Linked DNA regions of Styela clava. The protein of the gene in region 2 purifies or fractionates together with the protein of the main gene of each other region. This does not show direct contact. Links are inferred from orthologs where the notes say so. Each region holds a gene or a part of one and is shown on either strand. Other genes may lie near its edges.

Region 1 (12,943 bases), on a different chromosome or scaffold from region 2:
TTCAAGCATTTCACCACAGTGTTGATGCCTGAGAAATAATAATAAATTAAAATAGTTTTCTAACACTCAGCTAAGGGTAAGACAGTTGGTGCAAATTTTGCTCTGAACCTACTAAATTTAATTCTAATCTCAACAATGTCGTTGAGTTATTCTTAGCTGAAACATCAAAATTTGGTTAAGATAGGATTTACATATTTATCCCGGGGGAGAGGAAAGTTGGTAAGACGGCTTAACCATATGGCGAACCACGGCCTCTCGTCCGGTTATCTGTCCATGTCGGGTATGGGATTAGTTAGTTATTTTTGTTTTCGGAAGCATGGACTTGATGGTGGAGTAAGCCGTTTAAGTTGCGATAAAATCGGCCTAATATTTGACATTTGCAAACTTCAAACCTGTAGTCACATTGTCAACAAGCACCAAGTTCGATTTATTAACTCCAAGAAATTCCGCAGCAGCTGTGAGAGAAGCATCGTAGTATTTTTCCAGGTTGAATCGGAACCAGAGGTCGGGCTGCGCTTCTTGCTCATATATGAACCTGAAATAAGTTGATAGTGTCATAGGATGGTCCAAAAAAAACAGAACCCAAGTCATCTGGAAAATATTCTAGAGCAGGGGTTCTCAAATGATGAGGCGCGCCCCACAAGGGGGCCATGGATAATATTTTGAGGGAGCGCTAATTAAAAATTAAAATATTTGTTCGATTCGATATTGCCCCCTTTAATTTGGATATTTACATTCTTTTACTCTTTGGTTAGAGATTGTGATTCCATCCACGTATTTTCAACATGTTTTTCGAATAAAACATACTTTCGCCTTACTATCTGTTATATGTAGCTTATTGTCAGCTAGTTATTTTCGAGGTGGGGCACAAGACTTGACAAGTCATTAAAAGGGGGCGAGGATTAAAAAATTAAAAAGAGAACAACTGTTCTAGAGAGAACATAAATTTCAAACAGTCCTAGATTACTAAAACTTTTGGATACAATCATACACAAACAGAAATCAAATGTTAAATAAATATCCTTCAAAATTTATAAGTTCTCTTTTTTGAGTCACCCTGTCAGAGAGAATTGTACTTATACAATGGTTTACTTAAATTATTTGCTTGGTGCAGGGGTGGGCAATTACTTTTCTGAGTGAGTCTGCTACAGATAACAGACTTGGTTACTGGGCCAGAGGCCTATTATGAAAAACTATGAATAAAAACAGTTTACTTACAACTACTTGTCTGTCAGCTAGGCTACTGTTTGTATAATAATATTAAGCAGAATGTAACTATCAGCGTCATTATGATGTTATTTTCATCTAGATTTTTAACAGAATTTATATCCATAAAACTATAGTTATAATTTCAGCAGCCCACACTGGACCTGGATGAAACATTTCGGTGGGCCAGATCTGGCCTGCAGGCGTAATTTGCCCACCCCTGGCTTGGGGGATAGGAGCTCACAGGGTTAAGATGATTTATCAGGAGCTCACAGGGTTAAGATGATTTATCAGGTTCGGATGCCATGGTGGTAAACTACAGATTACTGTTATGCTAGTTAGTGGTTCAAAATACCAGGCAATTGAAATGATAAACTACTTGTTACCTATCTCCTAATACCTGTCCTGGCATCTTAATTAATAATACTCTGCACAATTAGGCTTTATGGCAGGGGTGGGCAAAATTTTTTAGTATAAGAGCCGCATGTAGCAAGTCAGAAATATGTGAGAGCCGCATAATTTTTGAAATTAATAATATTAGAACGTAAGATTAGTCGTTTGACCGATTTAAATTAAATTCCACGCTACGATTTTCATACTAAAACAGAATTTGTCTTAATCATAGTAGAAAACTTCGTTCAACCGCATAATGATTTAAAAACTGTTGCGCTACAGTTTCTCATAGTTAAATTTGGATAATATATTACTATTGCTAGCGAGAAGAGCCGCATAAAAACCCTGGCGAGTCACATGCGGCTCGTGAGCCGCTGTTTGCCCGTTGCTTTATGGGCTTATCTCTCCCCCCAGTAAAAATATGAAAATCCTGTACATTATTAATATACATTTAACTGAGTTACAATTGAGTGGCAAGGCTTTTCATATAGATTTAAAATTCTATTCTACAAGGATATCAATAAATAATATTACATAAAATTACTGTCTTTGAGTATGCAAAATTATTTCAGTCAATATCATGTATTTCAGCATAAATGAGAGTTTTGATAATATCATAGTTTAATCATATATTACGGCACCGTTGCTTGATAACCAATATTACTAATTTTGTGTTGACCGTCATCCTGAAATGCCTTTTTTACATTGTGTATGCACAGTGTATTTTTAGCATTATGAAAAAGTGAACACTAATAACTGATAAATCCCAATATTCAAAAATGAGAACTTACTTGACTTTCTGTTCCACCACTCTCTTAGGAGTTGGCCCATAAGATCCATGGTTCACAAAAGCACATGATTTATCCAAGAGAAACTCATCCTTCATTTCATCTCCAAACTTTACGTCTTTCAAATCCATATTTCCAATGCGATACCAAAAGATAGATTAGAAAATTTAGATATTACTTTGATCTAAATAAGTAATAAATTGCTATAATATCACATCACAACAGAGAGAGAAATTTTGAATACACTGATAAAGTATTTTCTGCATGGTTCAAATATAAAATATATTATGTTTTATTTTTTTTACACAAGATTTGACCCCAGGAAGTAATGACCCAGAAACTATTCAAGCATCATTGATTCCCAAAGGTGAAATAGCTTTCAATTCAGGTTTAATCAAAACAAGATTGCCCTCACGAGAAATTAGATTAGAGATAGAAGAGTAGCAGACAGCCACTGACACTTGTTACTCACATAATGATTTTTAAGTGTTTGTTTTCCATATAAGCTCCAATAAAAACGGACAGTGAAATTGCTTCTCTGTTGGTTAGTTAGCAACAATATGCACTAATAATTTTATGTGCGTAAAAAAAGACTCCAAGAAGCAAGAAAAAATAAAATAATAGCCGCCCAATAAGACAGCCCCCCCTAAAATCAGGTCAAAAAATTGGGTCGAGAGAAGCGACTTAATAACCAGGAAATACTGTTTATTGGTATAATCTTGGATAACTATCTTGACTGAAACACAAACTAAAACTTGCTGCTAAAATAAGTTGACTATTGCACAAAACAAAAACAAAAAAAATTAATCACGAATAACTTGTGCACAGGAATCACAAAAAAACTGCAAGTCTAAGTTCCTAGTAAAAAACCTAGAGAAGTTTTAGGTTTCTAAATAAAGTATTCAATATGGCCAAGAATTCGATGCAGTATAAAAAGAGCATGTTGGTTGTCCCGAATTGGCTTCCTACGTAACAAAAGTAAACTAGACCTTAAGACTGAGGTTTTATAGAATTGCTTTAATATGATCTTCATTTTAGTCCAGAAAAAGAGGGCTTAATCATATGATAGTAAGTGAGTCTATAGTCTCGTCACCGGGTCGAGAATTACTAAACAGTCCGATGCAAAAAATAGGGGGTAACAAAGAGGTGTCGGCTAATTGATTTGGATTCTAACACAAGCCTTTATTACCTAGACTTGCATACACATATTGTGAAAAATAGAAAAATGAGTATGAGGAACCACTTTCTAATATCAATCTCAAGTAGTTTGGATTATTTTTGTGTTGTAGAGGCAAAGAAAATCCAATCAATTCATCCTTTCATCGGCGAGGAATTCGTGCAATCTTTTCCCATTATTGCAGAATATTTCTACTCTCAAAGACTTTATCCCGTTGGCTTTTTAGTTGTCGCTTCCACTCTACTTGTGCGTTTGTTAGTCGATTCATCATCATAGAACTTGTAGAACTATGCTGCCTCCGATGGCTGCGAAAGCGCATATTTTCGGCAGTTTCAGATGAAGTCGAGGGTCGATCTTCACTGACTAAATTCTGAGTTTCAACTCCTTGTTCTCGATTCCGCTTTTTACCGATAAAATCAACTAATCCAACAATTGCCAAATATGAGAATAATATTCCAATTAAAATCAGATACATCAGGACAACAACCTCCATAGTCTTAGTGCTTCGTACTTCATATTTACACTGACACAAGAGGCAGTATTGTTCCAGCATTACGCCAGATATATTTGCCCAATTCAATTCCGGAACGACAACATCTAAACAGTTACATTTTTCTTGAACTGCATCTTTTGTATAAACCTTTCTCGGAATATTGAGAGCAATAAGTTGTTTGCAAGTGCAGCGACACCGAATGTCATTGAATTTTGCTTCTGCCGATATCTCACATAAAAGGTTACAAATAGTGAGTAAAAATAAAGTTAGTAACGACCCCTTAATAGTAGGCAACATGATTATTTGTCCGTTTAATACTATATCTAAAATATTCTGAGAAGATGAAAACATTGTCAAGCAATGATACTAAATAAAGAATCAAGAATCCGGTATTCATTTTCACCAAGTAAAAATGTGTCTATGTGCCTAATTAGGTAACAAACAAATCAAAATTATATACAAAGAGGTATGATATTACTGAATTACAACACCATTTGCAAATTTATATAGTTTTTATTAATTTTTAGACGCAGAAGCTTTAGAAATAGGATAAGATTTACATGTTATACCCGGAGACCAGTCTGGATTTCATGGCCTTTTTGAACGAGAAATCGGGCGTGCAATCAGAAATTCCCGCGTGCAAATAAGAATTCCTGGCGTGCAATTATAGCTCACGACGTGCAAAACAACTGCACTCGCGTGCAACTGACTTTGACATCAGATACCTCTCAATACATCCGCGTAAAATTACCGGTATCGGATAAAAAAATACGTTGAATCAGAGAAAAAATGGACGTTTGACCTTTGACCCCAAACATTATTTCTACAGTTTGTCGCTAATTTTGAGAGTGTTTGTGCGACTTTGGATACCGGTACTGTTCAGTACATCCGCGTAAAATTATTGGATAAAAAATACGTTGAACCAGAGCAAAATGGACATACTTTGTCATTAATTTTGGTAGTGTTTTTACGTAGAATTAATGGATAAATAATACGTCAAATTAGAGCAAAATGGAAGTTTGATTTTTGACCCCAAACATTATTTTCATACTTTGTCACTAATTTTGGGAGTGTTTGAGCAACTTTAGATACCGGTACTGTTCAGTACATTCGTGTAAAATTATTGTATGAAAAATACGCTGAATCAGAGCCGTACTTGGCCATTGGTGCGGAGGCGATCTTTTCGTCCATAACTATTCTCACGGGATTCCTATTTCCTATCATTCAACACGATATGAACCTTTCCCCGAGCATCGACTTCCTTGTTTACTTCGTGACATTGGCCAATCAGCAAGATGCAAAAAAGGACGTAACAATGAGAGGAATTTTTCGCGGGTCAAAGGTTGGGGAAAGGTCCATGGTCTTTTTGCTTCGCAATATTTCGATCAGACCAAATCTTGCAAGCTGGTATTTGTCGACAATTGTGGAGTTATAATATTTTGGCATCTTTATATTACTGGATTATTGATTTTAAAACTATTTAAACCGATTTACATTGGTGAGCAATTGCAAATTTTCGGCGTGCAAAATTGATTTCGCTCGCGTGCATTTTTGCGGAGCGCTAGCGCCCTCGGGCGTGCACCTGCCATGGAATCCAGTCTGGCCCGGAGATACAATCAATTTTTTTTTGGTCACTCTGAAAGAAACAAAACAACAACAAACAGACAAACAAAATGCAGAGGACCTGGGCATAACTTAATAGAAAAGTTAAAAAACAGACGAGTGCGTGCCCGTCCACCAAAAACAGTCAAAAGAAAACAATAAAATCAAGACACGATGTAAAATCGAGCGATATCTTTCAAATTAATTCTTATGCGTGATTACAGAAAAAATTGATTGATCAGTGAAATTTTTTTACAAAACAAAAGTTAATCATGAGAAAATGAACTAGGCTATGTACAGTATGTGAGAAAGTGGCATGCATAGACTTGCTACAACAGACAGAATCGTTAAAGCAGACATGTACAATTACAACCGTCTGCACTCCCGAAGGTAACAGGCATTCAACTTCTTATTTACAAAAATGTACCGGTAATGATTTAGAGCTTGCATTCTTGTGCGGCTGTTTTTGAGAATGATACCGGTAGCCTACATAAAATAATAACCTCCAGTCGAACGCTACCGGTACCGTACCGGTGCCGGGTACGGTATGCTGTGAAATGTAACTGAACTGTACCGGTAACTGTTCTCCATTCTGCACCCGATTCATTCTGGTAATTATGAATCAGTATCTCTTTGTATCGCAGTGTCAGCCTCCTAAGAGCCTTGTTTAAAATAAAAAAGGACAAAGCCCGTGTATAAAAAAAAACAGGCTATTCCAAATATCTTCTCAAAGCCCCGTTTGATCCCAAACTGTATTCGCGCAAAAGTACCTCAATTCGCGCAAATCTTCCAAAATGTTTTTATCATTTCGATCAAAGTCCTTATATTTCGATCGGCTGCTGGCGCCTCGAGAAGAAAGTGGTTGATAATGTGGTTAACTGGGGAAGAAGCCGTCTATATTGTTTTATTGCAAATTTATAATAAATGTTATCATAAACAAAAATACCTGAAACATTCACCCACTCGTGAAAACTTTTAAAAGGTCAGTTCACCATGAACGATTTGTGGGAATAATACCGTTAGTGGCGATAGAGATACATTCTTTGTTTCCTCAAGTTACCAAATTTATGCCTGATGTCCTACATTCAGACCGTCATTTTTCTTATTTTATTGCTAAAAATGCATTTTCAATACATTTTTTTGGATAACTGTATTTTAGAGCAAAATATCTTTAGTTATATCATATATCTTGTTTTAAGTTATCAACATAGAAAACGATTTTTTGCAAAAAGTAAATTTAAAATCTGGCATATTGAAAAAGAAAAAAGGGTATTTTTTGAAGAGCAATCAGTCTAGTTTCCTTGTACATCGACTAGTTTGCAAAAATGAATATCACCATCGAGTCGTTGCTTGCGGACGCTAAATATCTTGTTACAAGATTGAAGGTAGAGTATTTCAATGTTTTGACAGTTAATAAAGGCTTCTACATATAATTCAATCCTCTTGAGGCAGACTTCCGGCTTTTTTACTGATTCAGGTTTTGATATTTATCCCTGGGAAGGGAAAGTCAATAACTGGCTGACTAATCCCATACCCGACATGGACTGGTAACCGGACGAGAGACTGTGGTTTGCCATATGATTAAGCCATGCTATTGTCTTTCTTCTCCCCCCCCCCCGAGATAAAAATGTAAATTCTATCAGTCTATCCTAGTCCTAAGAAAGCTTAATTACATGGCGAACCACAGTCTCTTGTCTGGTTCGCGGGCCATATTGGATATGAAGCTCATTCAACCAGTTATTAGTTTTCAGATGCATGGACTTGATTGTGTGGTAAGCTGTAACAGACCAGCGGTCACATGAACCGTTCTGTTTCTTCAGATATTAGAATACTGACTTGTGGCTATTGTATGTCAGTTCATGTAAAGGCTGGTTTGTTACTGCTTACTCCAATGTCCAAGAGCAGAAGTGCGAGTACCTGTAATGTTGAACTATAAATTAACTTACGTTGATCAGTATTATAGTAGACTAATAGTGAAAAATATTGGTATGTCTGTATATGTATGTATGTATGTTTACTAATATATCAAATTCCTTCTCTGTTGGGAAAATTGTGATGTCATAGTCTTTCGAATCATTCTAAACCACTAAAAGGCCCTGTGAATGTACTAGTTAAATTAGTGATTTCTAATCTTCTCTCCTGGTCAGACCCAAGTATAATTTTATTAGTTTGAAAGCCACGAGCATCTAAAAATCTTTTGAAAGTTATTGCACCCTGGATTATGAACCAACTAAGTGATATTTCGATCAGCCAGGGTTTATGCGGGCCACACAATTGAAACAAATTTTGGTACTCCTGTAGTATGTGAACCAAGATGGCGGAGCCAACATGCTTCTGGAGGTCACAAATTTTCAGTGCTTTCTAGCATGCACTATCGAAAGATTATTCTTTTATTTTCATCTATTATCCCAGGATCATGACAGCGCTGCTGAAAGTCTTGCCGAACAGGCTTCAACTCTCAAGAAAGAGATGGAAGCGAGAAACACATATCAAGAAAATTTGATTGAACTGAACAAAGTTGCTGGACACAGACCAAGGTCTACTTTAGTCTTAGGTAAGACAAATTTTTAAAAGAACCAGTGCTAGCTTTGCTCATGTTTTTAATGTGATATTTTTTATGATTATCTTTGCTTGCCTGTATGATATTTCCGGACATGACGTGATCGTTTTTTTATCTTGTACTGAAATTTCAATTCGAAATTGGTAATTAAGAATTAATTATCTTAAATTAGTGGTTATAAGGAAGTGGTGGAAGTTATTATTAGTTTGGAATAGAAAAAAATGTAAATATTGTAAAAATGTATAAACCAGTGGTTCCCAACTTTTTTTGGTTTGCAACCTCCTTTGGTGGTTTACACATACCTCGCGACCCTCTGCCTCACTTTCTGTACTTTCCAATAAAATAAGCGGTAAAGTGAATATTGTGTAATTTAATTTTTCATCAAGCTGCAGCTGTGATGGCTGGCATTGAAACCGCGTAGCCAACTGCGTAATTCGTGGTTTGAGTTTTTGACAAAGCTAATCTCAAGATGTATGATAATCTTCACAAACTACAAGCCTACCCTGCAGTAGACCCCTTGGTATTGAAATCCTGTTCCACAGCATTGCTTCGAAGCCTGTGTGTTTACCGCGTCACGGCGCGGAAATGCAGACGAGTTCGTGTGGCGTCACAATGGTTAACATGCCATATACAACTCGCGCAGCTTGCCTCTTTCGGAGGCAAACGAGAGTCAATTCCAGACTTCTTCTCGTTCTATTGGCAATATTTAACCTAGAGCTTTGTACTATTTTCTACTGTTTGGCAAGACCTTCGCGACCCCCTTGAAAACCCGCCCCGTCTCCAGGTTGGAAACCACTGTTTTAAACAAATGTGGATCTCAAATAATACTTCTGATAAAAAAAAAATTATGTTTGCTAAATTCACACTTTTATCTTCAAGGTATTCAGCAAGAAAATAATGCAATTCGGTCCCTACAACATGAGAATGATGAATTGCGACAAAGTTTGACCGACCACCAGAACGCATTGGAACTTATCATGACTAAGTACAGACAGCAGATGATGAAGTTCACTAAGCACCAAAAGTATGTGGATCTTGTCAATGTATTTCATAATCTCAGTGAGAGGAAAGTCTGATTAAATACATTTAATGCTGATAAATACATTTATTCCATTTATACTCAAGTCCATGCCCACAAAAACTAATCCCATACCTGAGGACATGGTTAGCCATATGATCAAGCTGTCTTATTGTCTTTTCCCTTCTCGTGGATGAATATTTAGGCTATTTTCTATCCTAATGTTGAAAAATAATAATGAACTTTCAATTGGCTTAAAATATCAAAATCAATCAACTGTGACTAGAACCACTGGTTATAAACCAGTGGATTTTGAGTTGGGCCACAGAACTGATAAAAATTGCTAGTTTTATTTATATTACAATAGTTAGTTTTGATTTTAGCTACAATCAATGACAATGCTGTTTACTGCTAATAGGTGGTAATTCCAATTCAAATAAAAAACGTTGAAGTGCCAGTTTTCGCAGAAAGATCTTGATTTCACTTCCAGTTTTCCCCTTGCAATAAAAAAGTTAATGGGCCACAAGAATATTTGGGCAATAAAAATGGGCCATGAAAGAAAAAAGATTGAGGACCACTGGTAGACAGCATTTATAATTTTATTTATATCTTCCACTTTCAGCATCCAGATCACTGAAAATGCTTATCAAGCAGAAAAACAATATCAAGAAGAGAATATGGAGCTAATTGATAAGGTACTTTTAATTTTATAGTAGAAAAGATGAGCATCCTGATTAATCAAGATCAGTATATTATATATTTGCCCTGCAGGTGTACAAGCAGACACTACGCACTAATATCTGACGATATGTAATGAGCTACTAATATTTGAAGGACGGGACTCTTTCTTACTTGGCAATCTTGTCATTGTTAATGCTGCAGGTTTGACAAGAAATATTCAAGCACACAAATTCGACCACATGGTGGCGCTGAAGATTCAAGTTATTTCAAAACAAAAAAGGGTTGCAGTTTTATCTAACAAACATTGTTTATCTTTCTATGTTCCAGATTCACGAGATGGCTGCTGTGATGAGGCATGCTGCGGATGTCGACGATGAGCAATATATCAGAGATTACGAAGAATTATCCCGATTGCAAACAGAAAATGACATTTTAAGAGAAATGCTGATGATATCTAAGAGTTCATTTGGATCAAGACTTATAACCACTGAACAGAAAGATTCTGGAAAGACTGACAAACCAGAATATGAATCTGAAATGGTGCTCACTGACGATACTACTAGTGATAAGACAGTTATACATGAGGGGGAATCCCCCTAACACTACTCCCCAGACAGTTATTTTATTACAATAGGGAGGACGTTTATGTTCCTTCGAAGGGTACTCCCGTAGTATGTGTGTACCAGGTTCATAATTCATTCAGATTTTTCTTATTTTAGTTTTATTTTGAGTTCGGGACTGTCTGTGTTAGCCAAGTGGATATACCCCTTGCCCATAGGTTTCAGTCCCTTTTCACAACTTGATGTAATGTAAGCGAACAAAATTAGTTACCTCCATATTGGTACACATACTTCCGGAGCGCCCCTTACTCTTGTTATTCCTTGTGTTTCTATCGAAACTCAGTACTAAGGAAATATATCTGGTTCATACAAAGTACTCTGCACAAGACTGTAGGCTGTCCAGGGGTTTTGCAGGTTTGTATTGAAATCCTGTAGTCTATATCAGGGCTACTCAACTGGGGGCCGCGGCCCGATTTCGGACCTTTCGGGTATTTGATCCGAACGCATAATTCTTCATTTTGGATCATTAGCCCACTTTTGAAGTTCATTTTATAAAATCACTTTTATAGATTTAAAAATATATATGAAAAGAACTATAACACCATAACAAACAATCTTGATTACCTAATAATCATTAGTCGGCCGAGGAATCGTGTGCTTGAGGATGCCGAAATATAATGTCTGGAAAGTCCGGATCCAGATATTTTTGAAGTTTTGTATGCGGACCTCCGGTAAAAACAGTTGAGTAGCCCTGGTCTATATTATTACATTTATCTTGTTTAAATATAATTAAATACACGGATATAATATAATGAGTGTGTTTCATGAGAGACTTTCATTTTCTCTACATTAGAGCTAAGATCAATTCCGGCCCAGGCCCGTGGGTATGGAACCCGACCGGTGTCCGACTAATTAACTGGATTTGCAGGCCCGAGCCCGAAGCAAACCCGAAATTTTATATTTTAATCAGGAGATCTCTGAATTGTCATTGCAAGAGTGTCGTGTTGATGGGGCAACTTCTGTTTTTTGCAGACCACGGTCTTTCGTGGCAAAAACGCTTCTTTTAACAAAAAAGTCAGCGACAGAACAGCCAGACCCGGCTCGAATTCCGGGTTCAGGCTTCAGATCTTAGCTCTACTCTACATCAAATTTCCGTTTCACATTTTTTGATTGTCATATTATAATGTATATTCAGTTACACAGGGGTTCTTAAGCCTTTGAAATGTTTATTGGGGTTCCTCTCCTTCAATTAAGGTTGAAAAATCTTTGCTCTAGACCATGGGTGTGCAACCTTTTTTATTGGCGGGCCAAATACAAGTAACTGGATGAAGCCGCGGGCCGCAACTTTATTTAATTTAGGCTTTCTGGTAGTTAGTTGCAAGCACAAAAATTGCCTATATTTGCTATTGATCTTACGGCATTAATAGGGGTTCTTGCAGAAATAGTAGATTTAAAACGCATAAACTTCTGAAGAAACTGCTATTTAAATTTTTTGTTACACCGACTTTAAACGAATGCAGTGAGAAACACGTTTTTGTAATATAAATCGTGTATTTTGCTAGCTCGTTTTGCTAATATGACTGGTATGGGCTTTGTGACGAAAAAGAATAAATACTCGTTTTGCGGGTACACCATTCGAAATTGTTATTTCTCCGCGGGCCGCAGTTTGCACACCCCTGCTCTAGACAAGAAACACTCAGAACTCACAAACAGTACTATCAAAAAAACAGCAACAACACAAACAAACATGGTTCAAAAGCAAACCACACAAATAGACGAACTTCAACCCAACTACATCAGTTAGACCGACAGTTCGGAGATGGTATGAATTAAATTACCATAGCATCTAAATCAGTTATAGAAAACTTAATTTTAAAATAAATTAAATTCTTGTGATCTTTATATTTACAGTTATACCTTGTATTGTTTGAAGAAGTTAGACCATGATCTAACGAAAGCTCACAAATATACTTACTATTTCGTTGAAAGAGATCATGTTATTATTATTTTCACTATTCGGTATTCGTTAAGAATATTCGATTCGAAAAAAATATTCGATTTTGCCCACCCCTAATAGCGACGTAATCAAGTGATCGACTGTCATAATGGCGACCGCATTAAAACAGCGACTAACTCGTGTTCACTGAGTCGAATTTCCTGGTCGGTCGTTGGGAGGTGTGTTGTGTCACATTAAATTTAAGGTCGTTAGGGTTAGGGTTTGTCACTCGCTGGTTTAATGCGGTCGCCATTATTACAGTCACTATTTGGACCTACGGAAAAAAGTATTCAAGTATGAATCAATGGGCATTCGGGAATTATCTGCCACTAAAAGTATCGAGACTGACACAAAAATGCCAGTTAATTCAACATATTCAATTTTATAAAAACTTAATGGGAAAATAGAGTTTTAACAAATCTAAAATATTGGCAATGCAAACATCCTATTAGCCTAGTGTTTGGACTTG
Region 2 (11,969 bases):
TTTGTTACAACATCTAAAGTGTAGCAACTTAAGATTGAATATTAAATAGATGTTTCGGATATTATTCAAATTAAATTTAATCTGCTGTCTTTGCAGTCGATTAGAAAATTTTATTTCAGTCTATACACAAACATTTTCCTATATGTTGTGCTATTTATACATGTGTTTTCATGAAATGAATTTTTTAAAATTTACTTTTACATAGGATTCTTTGGTAGAAACTGCTTAGTGATTTGATCTAATATTATAAGTGAGGCGATTTCTTCGCTTCGGGATAAGTTAATGCAGAAATACAATGTCAGACACAATATAGTTGTTTCAAATATTAATTCAACAAATATTTTTACATAACTTATATTGATTAATTTATAAATTATTTCTTGTCTACAATCAATTCCTTCAATCAGTCTCTATTCATTACAGAAGTTATCACAGCATATTTTAGACATCAATATTAGAAAATACCATGCCATTTCAAAAATATCTCGTAAGGCAAACCCTAATAATCTATTATTTTACTGCTGAATATAATATGTATTAAATTATGGAATACATCCCAAGTTGGCTCGTGTTCATAAACAACACATAGGAGTCAACATATGAATAAATAAAGTAATATAATTTGTAGATAAATAGTAGTTTTATTGGTGGCAATATTTTTTCAGAATTTTCAAGTTTTCTTTTACTTTTACTCTTGCTGTGAGACTTCAATTGTTCATGATAATCTTTCAAATGAAACTATTTCAGAATCAAGAATTCTTAATATCAAATGTAATCAGAACAGAATCACATATTTGACTAATTACATACAAACAACCCTGGTAGAAAACTTATTTATATTCAATCTTCACTGAAAGTTTATTACGGTAGTATTTATATCAGCACCAGGTAACTGTTTCCTATGCAATTTCTTTATATTCCAATATGAGAGGTATAAGTTATTTAGCCATTCTCAAGCACACTATTTGTATGTTAATTTGAAGCAGACACTATCTATATCATTGATAAAAACTTCACCATCCATGGGTGTTTCTATTTTTATTGCCTACATATTTCTATTGTATAAAAATGAAGCACAATGGGAAATGTGTTTGAGTTTTTGCTTTGAATTGTAATTTTGTTTATTCAATTGTGTAACTGAATCATAAAATGTACAACATTATTAACACTTTTATATTGGATAAATGAGCCTGTTTACGCCAACCACAATTTCAAAATATAGAGGAAAAATTGTTGGAGGAAAACCTACATGTTACATGAGCATTTTACCTCTTTAGATAATGTATATTTCAGTCGCAATTGGCCTATTTATTGCATCTATCCATAAAAATTTCATATCTCAAATCAGTCACAAGGCACAAGTTTGAAAATATCTAGCCATTCAAACATGAAAATTATTGATTTCTCTATCTATTGCCAATTATTTTTAAGAGTAATCTATCCAATTTATTTAATCGCTAAACCACAATACTCTAAGATCACAAATATTTCATCCTTTTTAAACAGCTGTTACTGGAAGACTAAATATTTGAATACAACTAGTCAACTACTATACAATGCACCATCTATACAGAAGTTCCTACAAATGCTGAACCAAAAGCACCAACAAAGAGTAAATGTCAAATAGACAGCACCACAAAGAGCAGGACAGCCCAGGAAAGTGTGAATTACTCAGTCACAGGGTCATGTCTGACTCATTATTTTTACTGCTTTCTACCACATCAGTTCACTGGTGTGAACAATTCAGAATAGCCCACTATGCAGCCCACATTAAAAGCTATTCAATATAAATAAACAACTCTTCCTGTATGAAATTTGATCAATCCAATAGCATGGATAGTATTTTATCATCGAAGAATTTAATATATAGTTGAATGCTACACATCAACATCCATTTACATTCTAATAACAAGTAACTTTTGAATAAACTACTATTGCTTGTTGTGATAAATAAAAGTCATATAATTACCTTTGTTTGGCTTCATCACCATTTGGAAGATATAAACGTACTTGTGAAACAATACAGCCATGAGTTACTAAAAATTAAAAATATAGTATTATTATATAGTGAAATAGTAAATTTACTGAGAGAGATGGAAGTATCTGAAGCATTACAACTAAATATTACCTTCTATATATAGAATGCTGTTATGTAAACCGCATGAGTAGAAAAATATCACTATATGTACCACATATTACATGCTATACCGTAATTTAAACTTAGAGGGTAAGCAATGGTGTGTATGACTAAGGATGATCATATGGTTTCATAATCGAGAAATTTGATTGGAGATTAGTTTCGAAATTTGATTATGTCAGGAATCATTTCCGTCCCAGGAAAGAATGTTACTATTTTTGGGGAGAAACTTCTGTACCTGCGTGTAGTATAACAAATATTGACTCATTTAGCAGTATTGTAATACAAATTTATACATTTATTACAAATTGTACGTGAGCCCTCATGCAAGATGTGCATATCATCTGCTAGTAAGCATTGCAAGGGGGAAAGAAGAGTTTCATAACATGCAAAGGGGGAATGTATTAAAAAAGGTAGGAAACCATCAATCTAAATGTATGAATGTATTCTGCAAAAATAACCTATCTGCTGGATTTTCATCCATAAAATTTGACATGAAACACTAAAAGCGTTCATGCATATGGAAAGTAGGGATACTTTTGATTGATTTAGTAAATTAGTTGACAACTGACATAAAAATAAACCAAAATCAATGTAGTTTATTTTATGCAAGGACATATTTTGTATTCATAGAATCCCCATCGGAGCCATTTGTGTATACCCTATTACTACGACAGGATAAGTAGGATTGGACTATTGAGTGTCTTGTTCAAGTGAATGAATTCAAACTCCTACTTGGGTATTGTTTGAGGCATGAACTAGAACAATTACGAGAGGTATAACCACAAAATCAAAAGTTGTTTAAATCAATTTGATTGTTCGTGGACACACATGACTGCATTGCTACGATAATTTAATTATTCAATATTAAAGTTTCAATATATCTAAAATTTGAAATTTAAGATAATTCAACTTTACAAGTGAGAATATGATTTGGAATTCAGAGGTGATTATGCTCATGGGCTTAAACAAAAAAATCTTCCAACTTAATATGAGTTATCATAACATAATTGTTATGTTATATTGAAAGGAATATCTACCAAGAAGCGAACAGTAAGCAAGGATCAAAACCGAATAATATACAATTCTAAATACATTCTGAAATAATGTTTGGATATGATTAATAAATATATTCTAATTGGGCCATGTTAAAATAAAACATAAAGAAGTCAAGTTGCATTGCATTCAATGAGTTTGAATTTGCAAATGCAGGAAGGTTAAGATGAATAGCCTAGTGATTTGATTGGTCAACTATTTATTGTATACCTCCTAATAAGGCCGTTTCATATATGATGTGGATTGTGGAGGTTAAAATGATAAATTTTGAAATGAATCTCCACTAAATTATTCCTAAAATCACGAATTTAAAACATCAAATATAATTAATTTAGAATTGATCAGTTTTGAACTTCCATTCGGTCAATATGCATCATTCTCTTTTGATACTTAATTGGCTTATTTTTGGGTGGTGGCTGGTTCTCCAGTTCGTACAACTTGCATTTTTAACAAAATTAAAGCCAAGTTCATGATATATTTACAGGAGTGGTATACAACAAATACAAAATTTAGATGCAGAAGAATATTATATGGAACACTCAAAAGATATTATATAATACTGTCAAAATTTCTACCAATACAATCAATGTAATTTCAATATTTAAAGATTGCTCCTAGCAAATCTGAATGAGGAACTTGCAACAAAAACAAATTCTTGCTTTATATAACTGGACTAGACTACCAGAACTAATCTTTAATAAACCACAAACTGATTTAAATATAACAATTAACAATGTCAGCCAATGCTATATAACTTATCACATCTCACTCAAATCACCACTATCTAGAATTATAAGAAAAACACCAGGTCACCTCTTCTTGAGTTCTCCACCACATCAACGCCGAACTGCACAATGTCACCAGAATTTACTTCGAATGGCATACTTTCTTCAGCACCTTTACTTAATCTTTGGTTATTTACAAAAGTCCCATTACTGCTTTTAGTATCTTTCAAATAAAACTGAAGAAAAAGAAACATAAGATTAGATTGATATAGCATACTATATTTTCATCACATTGAAGGCTATTTTTCTCGATCAAAGCAAATCTACACTATTGAGATGAAACATCTTGTACATTACCAAAGTAATCGTATAACGGTGTTAGAATATATATCATAGGCTACCTATTTTGTGTCATGTCTTTTGCTCAGAACAAGACCCTGTTACTACAAGCAAGCTGGTATCTAACGATATTTAGAGCTCCTATTTTCTAGAGGAATTGGGAAGTCTGTTACGGCATTGACAACTCAATTATTGAGATGGTAGGCATGAGATGTTTACCCTGCGATGTCTACAAAGTCAACTGTTGAGCCATTGTGCCCACACAAGTTGTTTTCATTTCCGATTTATAAGAACAAAACCTAATTTCATTTCACATTAATAAAGTTTCAATTTCATGAAATTCCAACTAAAGTTTACCTTGCCATCTTCATACCATAACAAGGCATGATTTCTTGACAAAACTTTACAGTCAAATATTGCATTGTTTGCTGCTGGTCGCGCTCTGGCGACTGAACGGCCAATTTTAGCTGGCTCCGTCAACGAAACTCTCCTCTCTTGGAATGGATGAGAATTTGTACGACAAGTGAATGTTGCAGTCATTTCTGAAATTATGATTTCACCCATATTTAAAATTTATATGAAGCAGCACTATGTTTTATCATTGAGATATGTTTACAACTCTCGTTTGTATAAATTAAAAGCTTGACCTTGATTTTCCAGTTTTCTGCAGTTTTGATAATTTGCCCAAATAAAAAAGCCAATATCTGAATATATATATATTCATAAGAGAACAGTAGCAGCTTGCAAGAACAATACATGGTTATTGACTAGCAAACTAAATGCTAAAAAAATAGCAAGTTCACTGATTGTAAGAACCAAAATCTTGATACAATACCAAGAAGCATATATTTGTCTCAAAATAATCTGTTCTCACCTGTTTGTACTTAGGGTGATATATCCTCAAATTGGAAATTGCTCAAAGGTACTTTTGCACTTCACCAATGTTGAAGAACACAATGTGTAGTTGTCATTGTAGTTGCAAGTTTTTAGAACTTCAAACCAATTTACATGATGCTGTATCTAGACTATTATCTGATCATAGTCATTGTCCGATGATGTTAATAATAATGTTGATATTGCTGTATGATGTAACAGTATAATGACCTCATGAACTAGTATATATAACTGTAATATATAAAAAAATGCTTTCATATCAGTATTCAGGTATTACTGTATTAAATTGGATGTGGAACACATTAATTAAGGGTGTTCAACGAATTGTAAATAAAACATAAATTAATGATAAGCAATTACAGAAAACTGAAATTTTTTATAGTTTGTGTCCACGTAATTCAATTTATTTTAACAGGATATAAATTAAATTATTATTTGATTCAAACCCTACACGATGCAGTGATCAAGGTTGATAGTTTGAAAGCAATTACAGAATTAAATATCAAAACTGAAGATTACTGATTATTCTGTTATTGTAACTAAGCGAGCAGTCGAGCTATAGGCCTATTACATTTTTTAATTAGCTGTGGTACATCCTTTATATAAACATGCATTTTGTGATATTGCTGTAGAGTTGATTTAATGCAGCAATGGCCAAAATGTAGATAGTATGATGTGATCAAATTTGAGTGTTTTTCAATGAAGTCGTAATTTTTTCTGTATCCCCAATTGACAATTCTATCTCCTAATTCAGCAATCAGCTTTTATTTATTTGTTTTTATCAATTATTTTTCGGCTGTTATGCTGATTATGATGTCAAAATAAACTTATGCTTAACTTATAACAGTATAACATATAAGAGGTGAAATTTATTCGGGAAAATATAATTGAAATAGAAAAGTCAGAAAGTTGAGCTCTGGCAGTCTGGTCAATTAAGTTGCTGAAAGAAGATCAGTCTGTCAGTATCAGTGTATGAGACAAGTTCAGGCAAACATCAGTCACAAAAATTTCTAAGTTAGGAATACAACATGCGGACATAAACCAACATGAGTCCGATAGTAATATCAGAATATTGGGCTTGGGCCTAATAAAATTATGATTAAAATACCCTTAAAAATATTCTTTCACTTGTCTAAGCTTAATTAAGATTTTGTCTAAACAGACACAACAAATTTGGGTATAGATAATTATCAAAGCTAAAGCTGGGAAACCAGCACCATTGCCTATATAGTCTACTCACAACCTCCTAAAAGTGCACAACCCAAACTTCTGATTCACTGTCCCAGGATTTGCTCTTGAATTCGAAATAATAAAGACAAACAAAAGGCATTGGGAAGGGTTTACGTGAAAAATGGATTTGATGCAGCTCTCGGGCGCCGCATATTGGATAAAAGAATAATGAACTTAAATCGTTTCAATCAAGAAAAACATTATCAAATCAAATAAAACAAGAGAGCTACGCCCAAATATATGCACACGTCTGTTCGCAGTACAGTACGGTTTACCGTACCGTCAGATCACAGTCTACAAATATATTCACACCAAGCGAAGCAGTACAGTAGGACACAAAATGGCGTCCGATGGCCGCAGAAAGTTTAATGACGTCATAGCAAACAAAAACAAATCTCACAGAGCTAGCAGACATATTTAAAATGAATAAAAGTAATATCTTCAACCACTGAAAATTTCAAAGCAATAGGTCCAGTATTCGAAGAGAAAAGCGTTTTTTTTTAATATTTCCACTAGGTGTGTTATTCTGTGTCAAACAACAAGAACAACATAATATTGAAACGATCGTTATGTCCACTACATGTCCAACAACAACATAATATTGAAACGATCGCTATGTCCACTACGTGTCCAAAAATGAAATCTAGTTAAGTCAATAATCTTGTCAAAACCAACATCATACATAAACCCTTTTCTCCATCGCGGGAAATTCCATTCAAATCATCATGAGTGGACATTTGGTCCCAAACATTTGGAAATCTTTCTTTTGTTTAGACTAAATGTAAAAATTACATTTGCCCTTGCACCAATGATATCCTGATGCAGGGTTTTCCAAACTGGGTGTCCGTGATGACTGCTCGAGGGTTCTGCAACGACCGGAAAAGAGCTGGGTCAATCTTCAACGATTGATTTCAATCAAAACTCCATTGCTTATTTTTGGTTGACTGCGGCGGACGAATATTCATTGCTGTCAGAAAAGTCAATTAAAATTTATTGCATTTTAAAACAGCCTACATGTCTGCGCAGCATTTTCAGATCTTACCAATATGATGACAAAATATATGCCGAGATATGCCGTAGAGTTGGATCTAAGAATTTGCTTGTCACAAACTGCCCCGAGAATTGAGAAATTGTGCATTGAAAATCAACCGCGTTCATCACATCAATGACATTAAACAACATGATGCGCAACTCCGGCATTTTTGTCCGAAGATCGTATTCGATAGCACGCTCCAATGCACATACTTGACGAGACGAAAACGAGCGGATGTGTGCTGCTTTCAAGGCGTAGCACGAATGGTGTTCGTGCCTGCTTTGACAGTTGTTGTCGATTTTAATGATATTTTTGAAAGTTGGGATAAAAAGAAATCGGTAAAAGGTAAGGTGAATACTATTGTTGTATATCACAACCGGGCATCGCACTGTTAAGTACATGTGGGAAAGCCAGCCTTTGTCAAATACTACGAAGTTATTAATTCAGTACGGTACGTAGTTGCCCATTTGCCGAAATTACATATTTACTTACTCCTTATGGTTTCAAATAGTTCATGCACCTCCAGTTAGATTTTTTTAATCAGTGAGGATATATACTCATTGTTGATTGCTGCTCATTGTAACATACTATTACGCATTCACTTTTATTTGCGTATTTAATCAAAGTGTTAACAAGTTCACCTAACATTTCACTCATACCGGTCTATATTGTATAGTCTGATTTCTCAAGTATTTGGAGCCACGAATGCTTGTAATTTTCTGACTAAACCCTTTTATTAGTTGGTTTATTTTCCAAAATTCAGTAAAATATTTTTTAAATAAAACATGAGATATTGGATTTATTAGCTTTTCCATTCTGAATCATATAGACTGCTTTATTTATTCTTAACGAAAATTAATAAATCTCCTCTCTTTCTTCAGATGTGAAAGTTGTGGACAAACCTGTCTAAGCATTGTGAGACTCTTGCAGCACAAGAGGCAATAGCAGAAATAGTAAGTATATCAATCAAGAAATTAAGCCGACATAAAGCAAAACTTTCAACTATTCGTCTAATCTCAATTTCCTATTATTTATTCACAGGACAACTATAGCAGACGTGGAGATATCAGAAGTCTGGTGACATATCAGTGACAGTGTGATTCCAAGAAATATAATGCAATTGAAAATAGAAAATTGCAATAGAAAAACAACCTATGGAGGCATGCAAAGACATTTGACCCTCCGGTAGAGTTGTGTATGGCCCCCACATCCTGCAGGGCTTGAGGAAAATAACTAAAAATTCCAAAGCGTAAGATTGCATAAGCGGTCTTATTTGTAAAAAGGCACAAAACACGCCAGACATACTTAAAACAGCTTTGGAAATGAGGATTACGGGTACCTCACTGCACTTGTGTTATATTTGGTTCATCAACTTTTGGTAGTACTATAGAAAAAATTCCGAAAGGGGTATAATCATCATTCATGATAAAATACTATAATATATTTTTTGAACAACTTCAATCTAGACCAGGGATCTCAAACTCGCGGCCCCAGAGAACTTCCAGTGCGGCCCTCGAACGCTTAACAATAATTGTAATAGTATTTTGGAATTTTTTTTTTTATTTAAATGTAATAGATTTTTCAAACCTTCTAAAGTGAAATTGATTATTCACACAGAAAACAATTTACTGAAAGTAGTTTTGGAATATTAATTTTTTTTGTCCACATTTTGACCCAATTAAGAATACACATCAAGCTAGCAAAAGAATACTTGAATAAAACACTTGAGTAATTAAATTAAACGCAAAGTACACGAAGAAGGTGGCATTTTCGAAGAAAATGGGAGTTGTAACATTTCTGCTCTTCACAAAATTCTGAAGCACATTGTTTAATTTGTCATATTTCCATCAATACAATCAAAAAACACAATAAGCTCAGCAGTCAATATGACAAATTCGAAGACCAACTTCGAACAGAAAATTTCCATGTGTTTGTATATTAATATAATTATACAACGACTTAGTTACTAAAAATCAATATCAATAATAATTCAAGCAATCCTATGCCACGCAATGTAGTGCGAAATGTCTTGTCGAAAAAATCTGTCATTTGTTTTTTTACTGATCTATACATGAAATGATAAAAGTAACTTTTTTGCATTACTGGAATTATTTAAACATTCGTAAAGATCCAGATAAACCCATGATCATGTGGCCTCGTTAGTTAGAGTACTATAAAATCATTTCAGACTGGCCTTAGTATGCTGGTGACACAAAAAAGATGCCAAACGCCAGGACGAATGTAATTATTAAAACATTGAGTTTATACTGTAGTATTTTTGTTAATTTTAGGTTCATATATTTAGATTAAGTTATTTTTAGTGTATGTATTATTCTTTCCTTATTCAAAGCTTGTTCAAAAATGATTTTGATGGTTGTACATAGAATTTTACGATTTTTTATAATAAATACTGTAACTTGCAAATGTTGCAATAATAGTGGAATGCAAATATTAATATGTAATTGCATTTGAAATTGAAGAAAATAATAAAACTTAATCCAACTGTTTAGTTGCATCACAATATATGTCACAAACTAAAACTATCTTAAAAATATCTTTTAAGTATACATTATCAAAAACTGTTTGCGGCTCTTTTTACAATTTTCAAAATGTAATGCGGCTCTCGAAAACCCATGAGTTTGACACCACTGATCTATTCTAGACGATTCAAGCATTGCTTTGGGAAATTATATCACTTCAATTAAATTGAAATAATCTCGCTATATTAAATACAAAATCGTTGCTATCATAGAGGTAAACCAATTCAGCCACTCGAAATATATTGGCCTTCACAAAGCAATGGAGGCAAAATTGAGAGTTCATGAGCTATGAACATTTGTTCTTTTCTTTGTCTTGAACTTCCCATACTCCACAGCCCCTATTAATTTTTTTTAATTTTAATTACCATGTGATGGTCATACATATCTTTAACTTGTATTTTCTGTCATGATGTATTATCTCAATGTGCCAAACTATTAATTTGTGTGCATATTTTGCTTCCAGATGACATAAATGTATTGTCATGTTTATTACCTCAGCTTGGAGTATTGACAAGAAAAAGGTGCCAGTAAATTAGGTAAAAAAATTTTCAACTCATTGTTATAATCAGAATTCACAATCAATAGGAATTATAAACAGCCAACAATCAGTGAGAATTATATGCGAAATCCCTCAGAATAAATTTGTCTAAAATCGGAGGAAGGCAAAAAATATAGGTAGTTTCCATTCACACAAGCATTTCAAGAAGACTTGCTCGAGCCAAACTAAATGAGCATCGTCAGGTGATCGGTAAGGCTGCAAGTTGAATTCAGCCCTGCAACCTCCTGCATAGAAGATAATATTAATTAGTGGGCTATGAGCTAAATTCCTAAATTTAAACAAACCTATCTACGATGCATTATGTACCAGCAATGTTACCTACGATTAACTGAATATGTAATATGTCTAATAAATTCACCTACAAAAGCAAGTTCGATAGGTGCAAACTTTGTGTTATGGAATTGTATCGCAGCACAGTTTTGTATGACACCCTCTTTAAATGAAATTTCAATGATTAAGCGCAAACATTAAAGTTACTAACTTTGAACTTTGTCATTATCTGCAAAATGTTCCACACAAATCTTTCCGCTATCGCGTTTGTAATCTTTTCTGATAAAAAAAAACGTCTATGATGTCCAGAATTGCTCTTTACAGCTTGCCTGTTATTCCAGCTTTCCAAGTAAGCAAAACTTCTTAGATATAGAGATTATTTTGTTTCGTTACAGGCGCAAAAAGGCAGGTACTACACGTAAAAAAGACGCCGAGTAGCAAAAGCGAGCGGAAAACGGACGCGAAAGGCGACGAGAAATATGTGCATTGGAGCGTATCATGAAATACAATGTTTTGCCTGTAGTCTTATGGAGTGACGTCAGAGTTGCCTATCATGTTGTTTAATGTCATTGATCACATTAATGTCGTTTGCGTTGTTGTGTTGTAAATGAAACATTATGTACCTCGTTGGTTAGGGACAGAAATTGTTACAGCATAGGATGGGGGTCCATCATAAATAAAATTCACAAACAGCGGTCCGCGGCCCAAAAGTTTGGGAAACTCTGTCCTAATGCATGACGTTTGACCAATGCAGTAAATATGAACCAAAGAGACTGTAAACCCTATTCCACTTGTAGATTGATTGGTATTTCTTCTGCATGAGAATTTTGCTGTATCTTACTCAGTCTTAGTCTCTGCCTAAACTTAACCACGCCACGTCCTAATTTAAACCCACGTGTATTTACACCCGCAGATTTTGGCACCCACACATAATTGGCACTCATGGGAGTTTGCAGCCCTGTAAATCCCCACTCATGGACACTATTGGTTTATTTTCAAATCATAGCTTATTAGGGATGTAAGCCATTTACACGAACCTCTCTGGTTTAATGAAAATATATCTTGCCAAGTAAAACTTTTATATATGGATGAATGAAATAGTAAAAATATTTGTTTTGTTGAAGATACTTGTGATTCTAAACAGCAAATTGCAATGTTTCCGCATATTTTTCATCCTTATTGTTTT

What was found.
Region 1: the proteins of uncharacterized protein LOC120341675 (region 2) and FGFR1 oncogene partner 2 homolog purify together in Drosophila melanogaster (affinity purification with western blotting; 3 studies listed by BioGRID, with this or other methods). This does not show direct contact. The link is inferred for Styela clava from reciprocal best matches to the Drosophila melanogaster genes Slmap and Fgop2.

What each region holds. Positions count from the first base shown.
Region 1 is NC_135254.1:4,413,402-4,426,344, forward strand, and holds FGFR1 oncogene partner 2 homolog, read left to right. Parts: upstream 1-6,796; 5' UTR 6,797-6,984; coding exon 6,985-7,044; intron 7,045-8,071; coding exon 8,072-8,213; intron 8,214-9,098; coding exon 9,099-9,243; intron 9,244-9,859; coding exon 9,860-9,932; intron 9,933-10,245; coding exon 10,246-10,518; 3' UTR 10,519-11,233; downstream 11,234-12,943. Other genes in the region: uncharacterized protein LOC120332696, read right to left, coding at 1-28, 393-535, 2,391-2,518; proton-transporting V-type ATPase complex assembly regulator TMEM9-like, read right to left, coding at 3,740-4,408.
Region 2 is NC_135263.1:9,214,100-9,226,068, forward strand, and holds the start of uncharacterized protein LOC120341675, read right to left. Parts: upstream 5,373-11,969; 5' UTR 5,132-5,372; intron 4,800-5,131; 5' UTR 4,798-4,799; coding exon 4,615-4,797; intron 4,155-4,614; coding exon 4,007-4,154; intron 2,037-4,006; coding exon 1,970-2,036; intron 1-1,969.